Linked DNA regions of Macaca mulatta. The protein of the gene in region 1 purifies or fractionates together with the protein of each later gene. This does not show direct contact. Links are inferred from orthologs where the notes say so. Each region holds a gene or a part of one and is shown on either strand. Other genes may lie near its edges.

Region 1 (5,495 bases):
TGGGATTACAGGCGCAAACCACTGCACCCAGCCATTTTGAATTAATTTTTTCATCTTTTTGTATGTGGCTATTCAGTTGTCCCAGACTCATTTGCTGAAAAGACTACTGTCTCCCCAATGAAGGGTCCTGGCATCCTTGTCAAAATTCAGTTGACCAGAGATATACGGGCTTATTTACTGACTCTCGCTTCTATTCCACTGACCTATATGTCTATTCTCATGCCAGTAGCACACTGTCTTGATTACTGTGTTTTGCAGCAAGTTTTGAAATCAGGAAGTGTATCAGTCCTCCATATGAATTTCCATATGAAGTTTAGGATCAGCCTGTCAATTTCTATAGAAAAAAAACAGCTGGGGCTTTGATAGGGATTGCACTAAATCTGCAGATCAATTTGGAGAATACTGCCATCTTAACAGTATTAAGTCTTATGATCCACGGACATGGGATATCTTCCCATTTATTTAGGTCTTCTTGAATTCCTGTGCATTTTTTTAGACTGAATCGACATCGCTCTATCACATCTAAGATATCCATAAATTTCCCTCCTTGTTTACCTGCGACTCCCATTAAAATAGAAATACGTAAATGCTGCACATTTTCAGGAGAACTCTGAGGACTGTAAAGAATTTGAGGTTTTCTTATTTAGTTGGAATGCCATATTAGGTATTAAAGTCAGTGAGGTTAAGTTTCACGCTGCTATCTTTTGAATAAAATGTATTGAAGAAAAATGTTACCAACGAAACAGATGATTTTAAAACTAATACATAATGTACATGATCCTGTTTACCTACATAAAGTATAAAAGTACACATGTATGTAAGAGCATAGAAAATACTTTGGGAGAAAATACACCAATTTGTTTTTTGTTTGTTTTTTGAGGACGGAGTTTTGCTCTGTCACTCAGGCTGGTGTGCAGTGGTGTGATCTCGGCTCCCTGCAACCTCCGCCTCCCAGGTTCAAGCGGTTCTCCTGCCTCAGTTCCCATGTAGCTGGGATTACAGGCGCGTGCCACCATGCCCAGCTGATTTTTGTATTTTTAGTAGAAATGGGGTTTCGCTATGTTGGCCAGGCTGGTCTCGAACTCCTGACCTCAGGTGCTCCACCCACCTCGGCCTCCCAAGGTGCTAGGATTACAGGCGTGAGCCACTGCAAACGGCCACCAATTTGTTACAGTAGTTAGTTATCTTGGCCTGGTGCTGTGGCCCATGTATGTAATCCCAGCACTTTGGGAGGCCGAGAAAGGAGGACTGCTTGAGCCCAGGAGTTCAGACCAGGCTGGGCAACATACTAAGACTCTATCTTAAAAAAAAAAAAGAAAAAAAAAAGTATCTCTGGGGAAAAAGGAGCAATGGGATAAGGAAGAAGAGGACTATCACTCTACTAGCATTTTTGCCATAAAAATGTTTTTGGGCATTTCTAGTGTCATTTAAAATACGATAATGACAAATATAACTACGCTTCAGTGAAAGAGTTTTTCAATATATATCAGCTTAATAGTTAATAACCTGGCTGACCTTGAGATCACAGGTGGTGTTGAGCAGCAGGTTGGAAGGCTTGAGGTCACGGTGCAGAACGTTAGCTGAATGGATATATTTTAACCCTCTGAGGATCTGGTAAAGAAAATAGCAGATATGGTCGTTGCTGAGGTGTTGTGTCTTCAAGAGCTTGTAAAGATCTGTTTCCATGAGGTCTTGTACTATATATCTGTTTGCAATGGTTAAGTAAAACACCAATTAGCTGGTCATATTTAGCAAAGCGTTGAAAACAAAAATGCGTCCTCTCTTGACTCTCTTCCCAAACAGTCCATTATTACACTATGAGGCCCTTAAAGGAAAGAAAAACCTGAGGAAAACTTGGTTTCTTTCATGGAAGGAACCTGAAGTCGTTAACTTCTTTTCGGTCCTGTGAGATGGCAAGAATTACGGCATTACATCTGACTGATGCAGCTATGGGCCTAGACTGAGATCTGAAACAGGCTGTTACAGAAATTCTGGTCAATCTTCAAGTCTCAACCTCTTTGTTCTCTAAATTGTCCACCATCAACGAACCCCCTCCAAGGTTTGTTGGAAATACTGGTGGCCTGTAAGTAGCACATATTCCCTCCTCTGTTTGGTCCAGTAACCTGTAATGTCACTATTCTTTTTCCTTCTTGTTGCCGCTCCCCTCCTTTCCCAAGTTCCTCAAAAGCCAAACATAAAACTTCCAGAAATACAGGTCTAGAAACATACCCTTACTAGTAAATCCAACCCTAAGTCTATCTATTTTCTTACTCTCCCATAACTGTTAAGATCCTAAATAAGACTATGGGCAAGTCGTGCTAAGAAGGGGTTTGTGCGTGTTTTGCTCCTCTTGCTTTCTTGCCTGGTCACTTATTTAACTACCTAAAACTTCAGCTATGGCTACTTTCTTTCTTTCTTTTTTTTTTTTTTTTTTTTTTTTTTGAGACGGAGTCTCACGCTGTTGCCCAGGCTGGAGTGCAGTGGCGCGATCTCGGCTCACTGTAAGCTCCGCCTCCTGGGTTCACGCCATTCTCCTGCCTCAGCCTCCTGAGTAGCTGGGACTACAGGCGCCCGCCACCGCGCCCGGCTAATTTTTTGTATTTTTAGTAGAGACGGGGTTTCACCGTGGTCTCGATCTCCTGACCTTGTGATCCGCCCGCCTCGGCCTCCCAAAGTGCTGGGATTACAGGCTTGAGCCACCGCGCCCGGCTGGCTACTTTCTTTCTAACAGAAATTAAATTATTAAAGCATTTAGCCTTTAACTTCATCATAGTATTATTTCATTAGCAGTATTTCTGCATTTTTTTTACTCTCTCTGTGTAAATAATATTCTCTGTTTCTTACAGATTTATGCTAGAGGCGGCGCAGCATGGGATTCAAAGGAAACATGATTTTAAAATCTGTCATTTGAGAGAGGCTTATTTTCATGGCAAAAGTAAAGTAGGACCAACAGGTGGTAGTGGCAGGAGGCATTTCACTTCAAATATCACTACAACTTATTAACAGAGCTGTTTAAAAATGGAAAGGGCTGCCTAGAGACAGCGAGCTCCCGCACCCTGGAGGGTGGAATACAAATTGGGTAAACTGGTAGGAGTGCTGTATAACCCTCTCCCTTCTGGCAGATCCTCTTCAGTATACTTAACCTCTCTATCTTTCAAATGGAGTCTTTGCCCAGGCAGCATCCTCTAGACCTATTCAGTCCAGATATCTAAATGTTGGTCATAGTTAATCACATAATTTCAGAGCCCAGTTGACCTTAAAGATCATGACAACTAGTTCCTTCATTTTAAAGGAGGGGAAACTGAGACCTAAAGTGGTGACCTGATTCTAAGATCAGGACAGTCCTAATTTCACCCAGTAGATAGCCAGGGCACCCTCTTTCTTAGTCTACTACTGATCTTCCCTTTACCTTTTCATCATCACAACAAACCATCTCTTAGACAGAAAAAAACATGACTGCAAATGGAGTTAACCAAGATTTTCCATGACTAGACTTAGGGAGTAAATGGCAAACAGATGACGATTTTCCCTTTAGCATGTTTAAAGCACTTTTCCTTTAAGTTTAGGAAATTTCAAGTTCTATTTACTCAACAAAGTTACCAAGCAGTGGAATTGGCTAGTTGCCTAAAAAGGATACACATCTTTCATTTGCTCGATGGTTGGTGCTCGAATAATGTCATTGATTCCAATGATGTTCTCATGTCTGAAGCGCAGTAAGATTTTTATCTCCCGCAGGGTTCTCTGGCAGTAGGTCTGGTGCTCAAAGGGGCTGATTTTCTTGATAGCTACTCGAACTTTGTTGACATTATCATAAGCAGAGCTTAAAAGAGAGAGAAAGACAGATGGCATTAAAAACAGCCCTCAGAATAGTTGAAGAATGCAAACTGGCAAAGTATTATATTTTTAACACTCTGTGTAAACACCTGTTTCATACCTGTGAAGGTAGCATGTATATTATCCACAAAAAGGCCTCAAGCTAGGGAGGATGGATGCAACTGACATGAGATAGCATACAGCGACTCTCAAAACTAAGACAGAACCTAGACCTGTTAACTGGGTGAATGTGTATTTTCATAAACCCAGAAATACACAAACAAGCATTTTCCCATTGTCTTAAACGGCAACTGCATTCTGGTGAGAATAATCACTTCTGCCTCCAAAACACCTTCCTACTGTTGTATCAAATTCCTCTGACACAGAAGAGACATTCAAATAACCGACAACAGTACATCTTTATCCCTAACAAAAATGGACCCAAGAGAACACCTTGATGATTTGTATCAACTTTGTTTCTCTCACTTGCAAAATGACATGACCATTTCTTCCAAGAAACTGAATCAAGATGTTTGGGTAGTTTTATAAGAAAACCTAGAAAGTATTATTCGAAAAACACATCTGCGGCAGCAACATGGGGCCCAGTTCTTTCCAAGTTGTCCTTAATGTCTAATATACCAGAATTCTAAGTAAAAGCAATAATAAAAATTATACCTTCAATTTTATGAATTTGAATCTTGAGAATTACTACTATCTTTATGATAAACATTCTATTAAAATCTTGTGTATAAGAAATTTTCATACTAATAAATGTCAACATCTGGCCCACTGACCAAAGCAATAAAATAACACTGACAGGCAATAAGACAACATTTCTTGTTTCCTTGGGATAAGTGCTAGAACAGAAAACAGTAAAATAACTTTATTCTAAAGTTTACGCTTCTAAGGCCGGGTGCAGTGGCTCACGCCTGCAATCCCAGCACTTTGGGAAGCTGAGGCGGGCGGATCACTAGAGGACAGGAGTTTTGAGACCAGCCTGGATGACATGGTGAAACTCTGCCTCTACTAAAAATACAAAAAAATTAGCCAGGCATGGTGGCACACACCTGTAATCCCAGCTACCTGGGAGACTGAGGCACAAGAATCACTTGAACCTGGGAGATGGAGGTGGCAGTAAGCCAAGATTGTACCACTGCACTCCAGCCTGGGCAACAGAGTGAGACTCTGTCTCTAAATAAAGTTTATGCTTCTATAATAATATTTATCAGTCTACTAATCCAAAGAATTATTGATATATTTATCTGATTCTATGACAAGATAATGCTCTAGAGGGGAACTTTGTCTTACTAGGATCCAATTATCCTACAACACCATTAACACACAGTACACAGGTGGCCCCAAATGCTCTGAAATATAATATATTTTCTTAAGTAAAAGAACCACTACTCAAATCTTATTTTGCTTTGGTTTGGTGCATGAGGCCCTAAGCCAGTAATTTTCAACTAGACAGGCAACAGCATACATAATAATAATAATTTAACATAGCATTAAAAAGCATATATAATAAGCAAGCTTATTCAATATTGGGAATATTTTTAGAAATAAAAATTCTATTTTGGTAATTCAACCCATAGAACAAGAGTTCAACGACAGGACAGATTAGTTACAAAATACTGGTTTAAACTCAACATTACAACTTTCTAGTGTTAATATTATAAAGT
Region 2 (6,155 bases), on another chromosome or scaffold:
AGGACGGGGGAGGCAGGGCAGGGGCCCTGGTGCCACTAGAGAGAGAAGGCCAAGGTGGCTGGCTAGAGATGGGCGGCTCCCAAATCCAGTCAGGCTGCAGGGGTCAATCCGCCTCCCTTGGCCCCAGCTCAAGCAGGTACCAACAAGACCTCCGGGCAACACATCCACCCTCAAAGACTCCACCCAAGTCTGGAATCCAACAAGGGATTCTTCCCCTTGGGAACCCAGGGAATCAGTAGTTCCTGCTCCCACAGGGACCACCCCCTCCAAATCCAGAGCTCACTGTCCCTCACAGGGACCCAGGCCCCCAACTCCCGCCCAGACTGGGCTGCAGTACCACATAATCCCCGAAGTCCCTGCCCCATTCGGATATATCCCAGCCTTCCACCAGCCCCTCAGGGTGCCAGGGATATGACCTCCGGCTGTTCACACACCAGTACCAACAGCCCCAGTTCCATTTAAAAGTGACAGCCTTTGACAACCCCTTCCAGGGACCCCAGAGCCCCATCGCTCTCTTGGGAACCTAGGTGTTCACCCCATTATCCTCACCCTTCTAGAGAGTCCAGATCACAAGGTCTCCTGCAAGGCCCAGGATCCTTTGGAACCCAGGTGACCAAGCCACCAGCTTCATGGACCCTCACATCCCCTCCAAAAAGCTCCCGGTCCTTCTCAGGGCAGGAAGCTCCATGCTACTTCCACCTCAGCCCCAATTTGGCTCTAGACCCAGAAGGGGGGCTGAAGCCCCTGAGACATCAATCTGGGGGTGGGGGATGTACTGACTTCCACCCTCCCCCCAAAATTAAAGCCACCCTTCCCAGCCCACCCGCCCCAGCCTCCGTGTCCCGGTAACCAGGCAACGTGTGTGCAGCGACAGTCCTGGGAGCGGGGGAGCAGGAGGCTAAAAATAAACTTTGCAGAAGAGAGGGAGTGAAAGAGACTACACGCAACACAAAGGGAACTCGGAAAGGAGGTGGGGGGGCTCTGGAAAGGCCTCAAGCCGCATTCTGGGAGCTGTCCCAGGCCCCCTTGTTAAACCCCTTCCCTGAGCAACCCCTCCTCCAGGGCCTGGACCCTGGCTCCCACTTCTGGCAGGGACCCATCCCCACTCCCAGGCCCACCCCAACGACGGCTTTCCTCATCGGACACAGCATACATGAGGGCCTGTTCCCGGCTGTGGTGGGGAGAATGAAGAGGGGGTGAAGTCAGGGTGTCTCAATGGGGCTCTGTTCCCCAGGCCTTGGAGCCAGGAGCCAGGCACGGGCAAGGGGAGCATGTGTGAGTGTGCTGTGTATGCGTCCACGTGCTTAAAACAGGGAAACACCAGACCTGCATGGAGGAAGCTTGGGGGTGCGGAACCTCGGGAACATGGGGGCCAGTGAGGCAGGGAGAGCTGGCACATGGAGAGAGGGGTTCAGGAAACTGCGAGACAGGGTGCAGAAGTGGCAGCAGACAGACAGTAAGGGCTGGGATGGCGAGGTCCCAGAAGCACACCTGGGTCCTACAGAGGTAGGGTAGGGATTCTCCCCGACAAACTATGCAAGCCTGGGGGGACGAAACTCCCGGGCACCCCCCAACCTCACGTGACGGCCCAAACTTTTTTTAAGGGGGTCGGAAGGGAGGAGTGGTGGTAGAGGAAGAACACGCCGGCCTCCTGGGGGGCCCCACCACCTCCCCCACTCCAGGCGGCCCTCTATGGCGCCAGAGCCGGGAAGAAAACAGGAAGTGGGAAACAGCCACGGCAGAGGAGAGAGGGGCCGGGATGGAGGATTGGATGGAGGGGTGCGGAGCTGCAGGCTAGGAGGCAGACGGGAAAGATGCACCGATCGGAGGCCATTCCAGGCCTCCCGCCCCTCCCCTCCCCCAGCTGGAGAACCCACACACTGTTCGGCCCCCAGACAGGGTTGGGGAAGCGACCTGCAGGTCCTATCAGGCCAAGGCCGGTAGCAGGCAAGGAAGATGAGGCGAGGTTGTCTGGGCGCCTCGGCCGCCTTCTCGGGCGAGGGGAGGCTCCTGCTGCCCCCAGGGCCCAGCGGCCCGGGAGCTACTGGAAGCCGGGGCAGTGTGTGGGACGCACGTGACTGACCCTACCGCACTCCGCACCCCGGCCCCACCCCCAGGGCCCCTCCTCGGTCCGGGTCCCAATCCCCAGGCGCCGGAGCCCAGCTCGGAGCCCTTTAAGATTAAGCCGCCCCCACCCGCCGAGCAGGGGGATGGGGATGGGAATGGGGTGGGAATGGGGTGGGGATGGGATGGGGTGGGGTGGGGATGGGGTAGGGTGGGGATGGGGTGGGGTGGGTGGGCCGGTCGGGGCACACACCCGCACACAGGAGCCCGAGCCGCCGCCGCCGCCGCCGCCGCCGGGGGAAGGAAACAAGTTTGAACAGCGGCGCCCGGCCCCCTTCCCCCTCCCCCGTCCCCGCCCCGGGCCGGATTCCGACGGGGTAGACGGGCAGGGGGCGGCTGGGACCCCTCCCCCTGCGCGCTTGGGCGCAAAGTCCAGCCCGCGCGAGCCCGGGGGCGGCGGGGGAGGGGAGGGGGAAAAGTCCGAGTGGGAGGGGGGTTAATCCCGCTGCCCCCCGCCCGCCGGCCGAGGGGGAGGGGAACCTTGGCCCCTTAAGGAGGAGCAAGTTGGCGGGGAAGAGAAGGGCGGAGGGAAGAGACGGCCCGCTGAAAGAGAAGAGGTGGATCCGGGAGGGGGGGCGAGGGGGGAGTCTCTGCGTCTCCCCCCACCTTCCCCACCCTGCTCAACCCCGGGCCCCCGGTGGCGCGGGAGGAGGGTACCCAGGTCTCCCCGGAGCCACCTTAAAGCCGCGCGTTCTAAGGTCGGAAACAAAAAGTTCCTTTTTCGAACGTTCGGGCTGCGCTTTGGAACTTTGCGACTCGGCGAGGGCGGGGGAGCGAGGAGCCGACAGAGGCGGGCGGGGGAGGGGCGGCGCAGCCCGGACCCCGAGTCCCGGGCTCCCCACTCACGCCCTCCTCCTAGAGGCCATCCCGTATCCCCCGCTAACCTGGTGCAGGGCACGCGCCGCCGTGAAGGTCACCAACCGGACCGCGCAGCGCAGAACCAGGGATAGCGGGCCCGGTGGACGAACCCCCCCGCCCCGCACACGTCCCGGCCCCCAGAGTGCAACGTGACAAGAGCGGAGGGGAAGGACCCCGCCACCCCCGTGATCCCGGGAGTGGGGAGAGCCCGGCCTGCGGGGTCCCGGTACGGATACAGAACCAAGACCCGCAGCACCCACACTACTCCGCCCGGAGCTAGGAATCGGGGGTCCCAGGCAGCAACCCCGCTCGCGCCACGAGAAGCAACAGGTCTCGAGTGCTTGAGGGGTCCCCCAGAACTGGGGATCACTTGGGCTCCCCCGGACCCCTTCAGCCCCCCCAAAGTTTCTCCGTTCGGTTTCCCGGGGCAACAAGTCTCCCCCACACGTGCTGCCCCCGCCCCCACCTGTGTCCGCCGGGGTCTTCATGCTGGGGGGCCCGGGGCGAAGCGCCCCGACTCCGGGCCGCGGCTCCCGGCGCCCGCGCTGCCCCGTCCCGTCCCGCGCCCGTCGGGCCGCCCTTGCCGCCTCACCCGGCCTCGCCTCTCAGAGCCTCTCCCCTCCCCGCCGCCGCCTCCCGGGTTAATATCGCACTCCGGGGCCGGGACGCCCACGCCCCCCGGCCGGCGACGTCACCGCCGCGTCGCCATGGAGACACTGCGCCCGCCCCCTCCCCGCGCACTCACACACACGCTCGCCGGCGCGCAGCCACTGAGGACCGGCCGGCTCCGGGCTTAAAGGGGCCGCGCGGCGGGGGAGGGAGGAAGGAGGGGGCGGGGGTGGAATGGGGTCCCGCGGGTCATGACCGTAGTCCGAAGCTCCGAGTCTGCAGATAACTTAAGTCCTCCGCACTCGCTACCTGCTGCCCCTCCTCCTCTTCTGCCCGCTGCGGGCTCCAGAGTTTCTTTTGGGAGCCTGTATGGGAAAACGGGGGGCCCTTCCGAGGAAGCGGGGGGTCAGAAACTTTTGTGGGGAGGGGGCAGAATCTTCTCTGCAGAGGGACGGGGTCAGGACCTTAGAGGATGATCAAGACGACGGCATTACCAGCTTGGTTTTACCCAGCCCCCCCAACCCTGAGCCTGAATGGGGGCAGCTGTCCAGGGGTGGGGTGGAATGGGTGGGATGCATTTCCCAGCATCGGAAATGGGGAGGCGACTGTGCCCTCCGCTCCTGTGGGGATGGGGTCTTGGCCTTCCTGATAGCCCTAGTCCAGCTGGGGAGGAAGTGACCAGAGAGAATGCATTTGGAAGCCCCCGCCACCACCGTCCCCAGGCTGCAGCTGTCCCGGGGACAGGGCTGGCGCCGGAGGTCCCCCCACCTCCACTACTAGGACCGGGGGTTCCGGAGGCGAGGCCAGGATACGAGGGGGCGACCAAAGTCTGAACAAATGTGCTCCCAAGGGGCACTGAGGGTCGCCAGGAGAGAGGAAGACAGGGCTTAAGATCGAAAGCCAGAGCGTAGGGAAGTGTTAAGTCTCCGTTCTCTGCCTCAGCCGGGAGGGAAGGATGAAGCCTGAGGCTCTGGGAAACAGGAAATCACAGTGCAGATCTGATGGAGCCCAGGAGCCGGCAGCAGGGTAGAGGCCAAATAGAAGCAATATTCACAGGCATAGCCTGGAAACAGGGTCTCAAAAAAGATTCTGAGGTTCCAAAGAAGGGCGTATGGATGGCGGGCGGGAGTTGGGGGGGCTGGGTGGGGGACAAATCCAGAAGATGGGCGGGGAGACACATAAAAGTCACACACAGGGAAGGCCTGCGGAGCTCAGGCTCCCGGTACCTAGGGCTTCAATCCCAGCCTCCTTGCTTGCGGGGTACCTAGTCCGCCTTAGACAGGTTCCTCACTGGTGCCTCAAAAAAAAAATCTCAGGCCTCCTCCTTGGGGAGACCAAGGGCTCCAGGGAAGCTTTCCCCCACAACCCCCGGGGAATTATGTAACCTTGCCTACGGACAGTACAGCTCCCCCACGGATATTGTAACCCTCTGGGAGCGGTGTGGTCCAGCAATAATAATCATCATCATTGTTCGAATAACAGCTCCCAAATTCCGAGTGTTCATGATGTGCCAGGCACTGGGCCAGGCATTGTCAGGGGCATCTTCTCATTTAATCCTCACAAAATCCCAACGAGGGGAATTACTGTTGTTATCCCCATTTACAGATAAAGTGATGCTCTCTGAGGGAAAATCAGTCCACTAAATCTTACAGCCAGGAAGTATTGGAACTGAGATTCGAACCCAGATCTAACCAATTCTAAATCACCACACTTACCATTTACCATTATGCTTTATTACCTCTTTTACTACCCCCTTCAAAAAAAAAAAAGGCAGATTTTCAAAGATATTACATCAGGGCCCGGTAATCCTAGCACTTTGGGAGCCAAGGTGGGAGTTGGCTGACTTCAGGTCAGGAGTTCCAGACCAGCCTGGCCAACATGGTGAAACCCCATCTCTGCTAAAAATACAGAAATTTCCCAAGCATGATCGCGCGGCTATAATCCCGGCTACTCAGGAGGCTGACGAAGGAGAATCACTTGAACCCAAGAGGCGGAGGCTGTAGTAAACCGAGATCGCTCCACTGCACTCCCCCTGGGGCAACAGCAAAACTCCGTCTAAAAATGAATAGGCTGGGCGCGGTGGCTCACGCCTGTAATCCCAGAACTTGGGGAGGCCGAGGCGGTCGGATCACAAGGTCAGGAGATGGAGACCATCATGGCTAACACGGTGAAACCTAAAACCGTCTCTACTAAAAATATAGAAAATTAGCCGGGCGCGGTGGCAGGCGCCTGTAGTCCCTTCTACTTGGGAGGCTGAGGCAGGAGAATGGCGTGAAACCGGGAGGCGGAGCCTGCAGTGAGCCGAGATCGCGCCACTGCACTCCAGCCTGGGCGACAGAGCGAGACTCCGTCTGAAAAAAAATAAAAATAAAATAAAATAAACAAATAAATAAAAAGGTCAGGCGCGGTGGCTCACGCCTGTAATCTCAGCACTTTGGGAGGCTGACGCGGGTGGATCACCTGAGGTCAGTAGTTCGAGACCAGCCTGACCAACCTGGAGAAACCCCATCTCTACTAAAAATACAAAAAATTAGCCGGTCGTGGTGGCGCATGTCTGTAATCCC

Evidence for each region. The genes of interacting proteins can lie anywhere in the genome.
Region 2: the proteins of MAPK1 (region 1) and ERF purify together in Homo sapiens (co-immunoprecipitation; 3 studies listed by BioGRID and IntAct, with this or other methods). This does not show direct contact. The link is inferred for Macaca mulatta from reciprocal best matches to the Homo sapiens genes MAPK1 and ERF.

The regions. Positions count from the first base shown.
Region 1 is NC_133415.1:31,182,130-31,187,624, reverse strand, and holds part of MAPK1 (mitogen-activated protein kinase 1), read right to left. Parts: intron 3,821-5,495; coding exon 3,638-3,820; intron 1,706-3,637; coding exon 1,516-1,705; intron 671-1,515; exon of another isoform or gene 1-670. UniProt on the Homo sapiens protein: Serine/threonine kinase which acts as an essential component of the MAP kinase signal transduction pathway. MAPK1/ERK2 and MAPK3/ERK1 are the 2 MAPKs which play an important role in the MAPK/ERK cascade.
Region 2 is NC_133424.1:53,307,094-53,313,248, forward strand, and holds the start of ERF (ETS domain-containing transcription factor ERF), read right to left. Parts: upstream 3,600-6,155; 5' UTR 3,471-3,599; coding exon 3,449-3,470; intron 3,366-3,448; exon of another isoform or gene 3,009-3,365; intron 2,705-3,008; exon of another isoform or gene 550-2,704; intron 1-549. UniProt on the Homo sapiens protein: Potent transcriptional repressor that binds to the H1 element of the Ets2 promoter. May regulate other genes involved in cellular proliferation.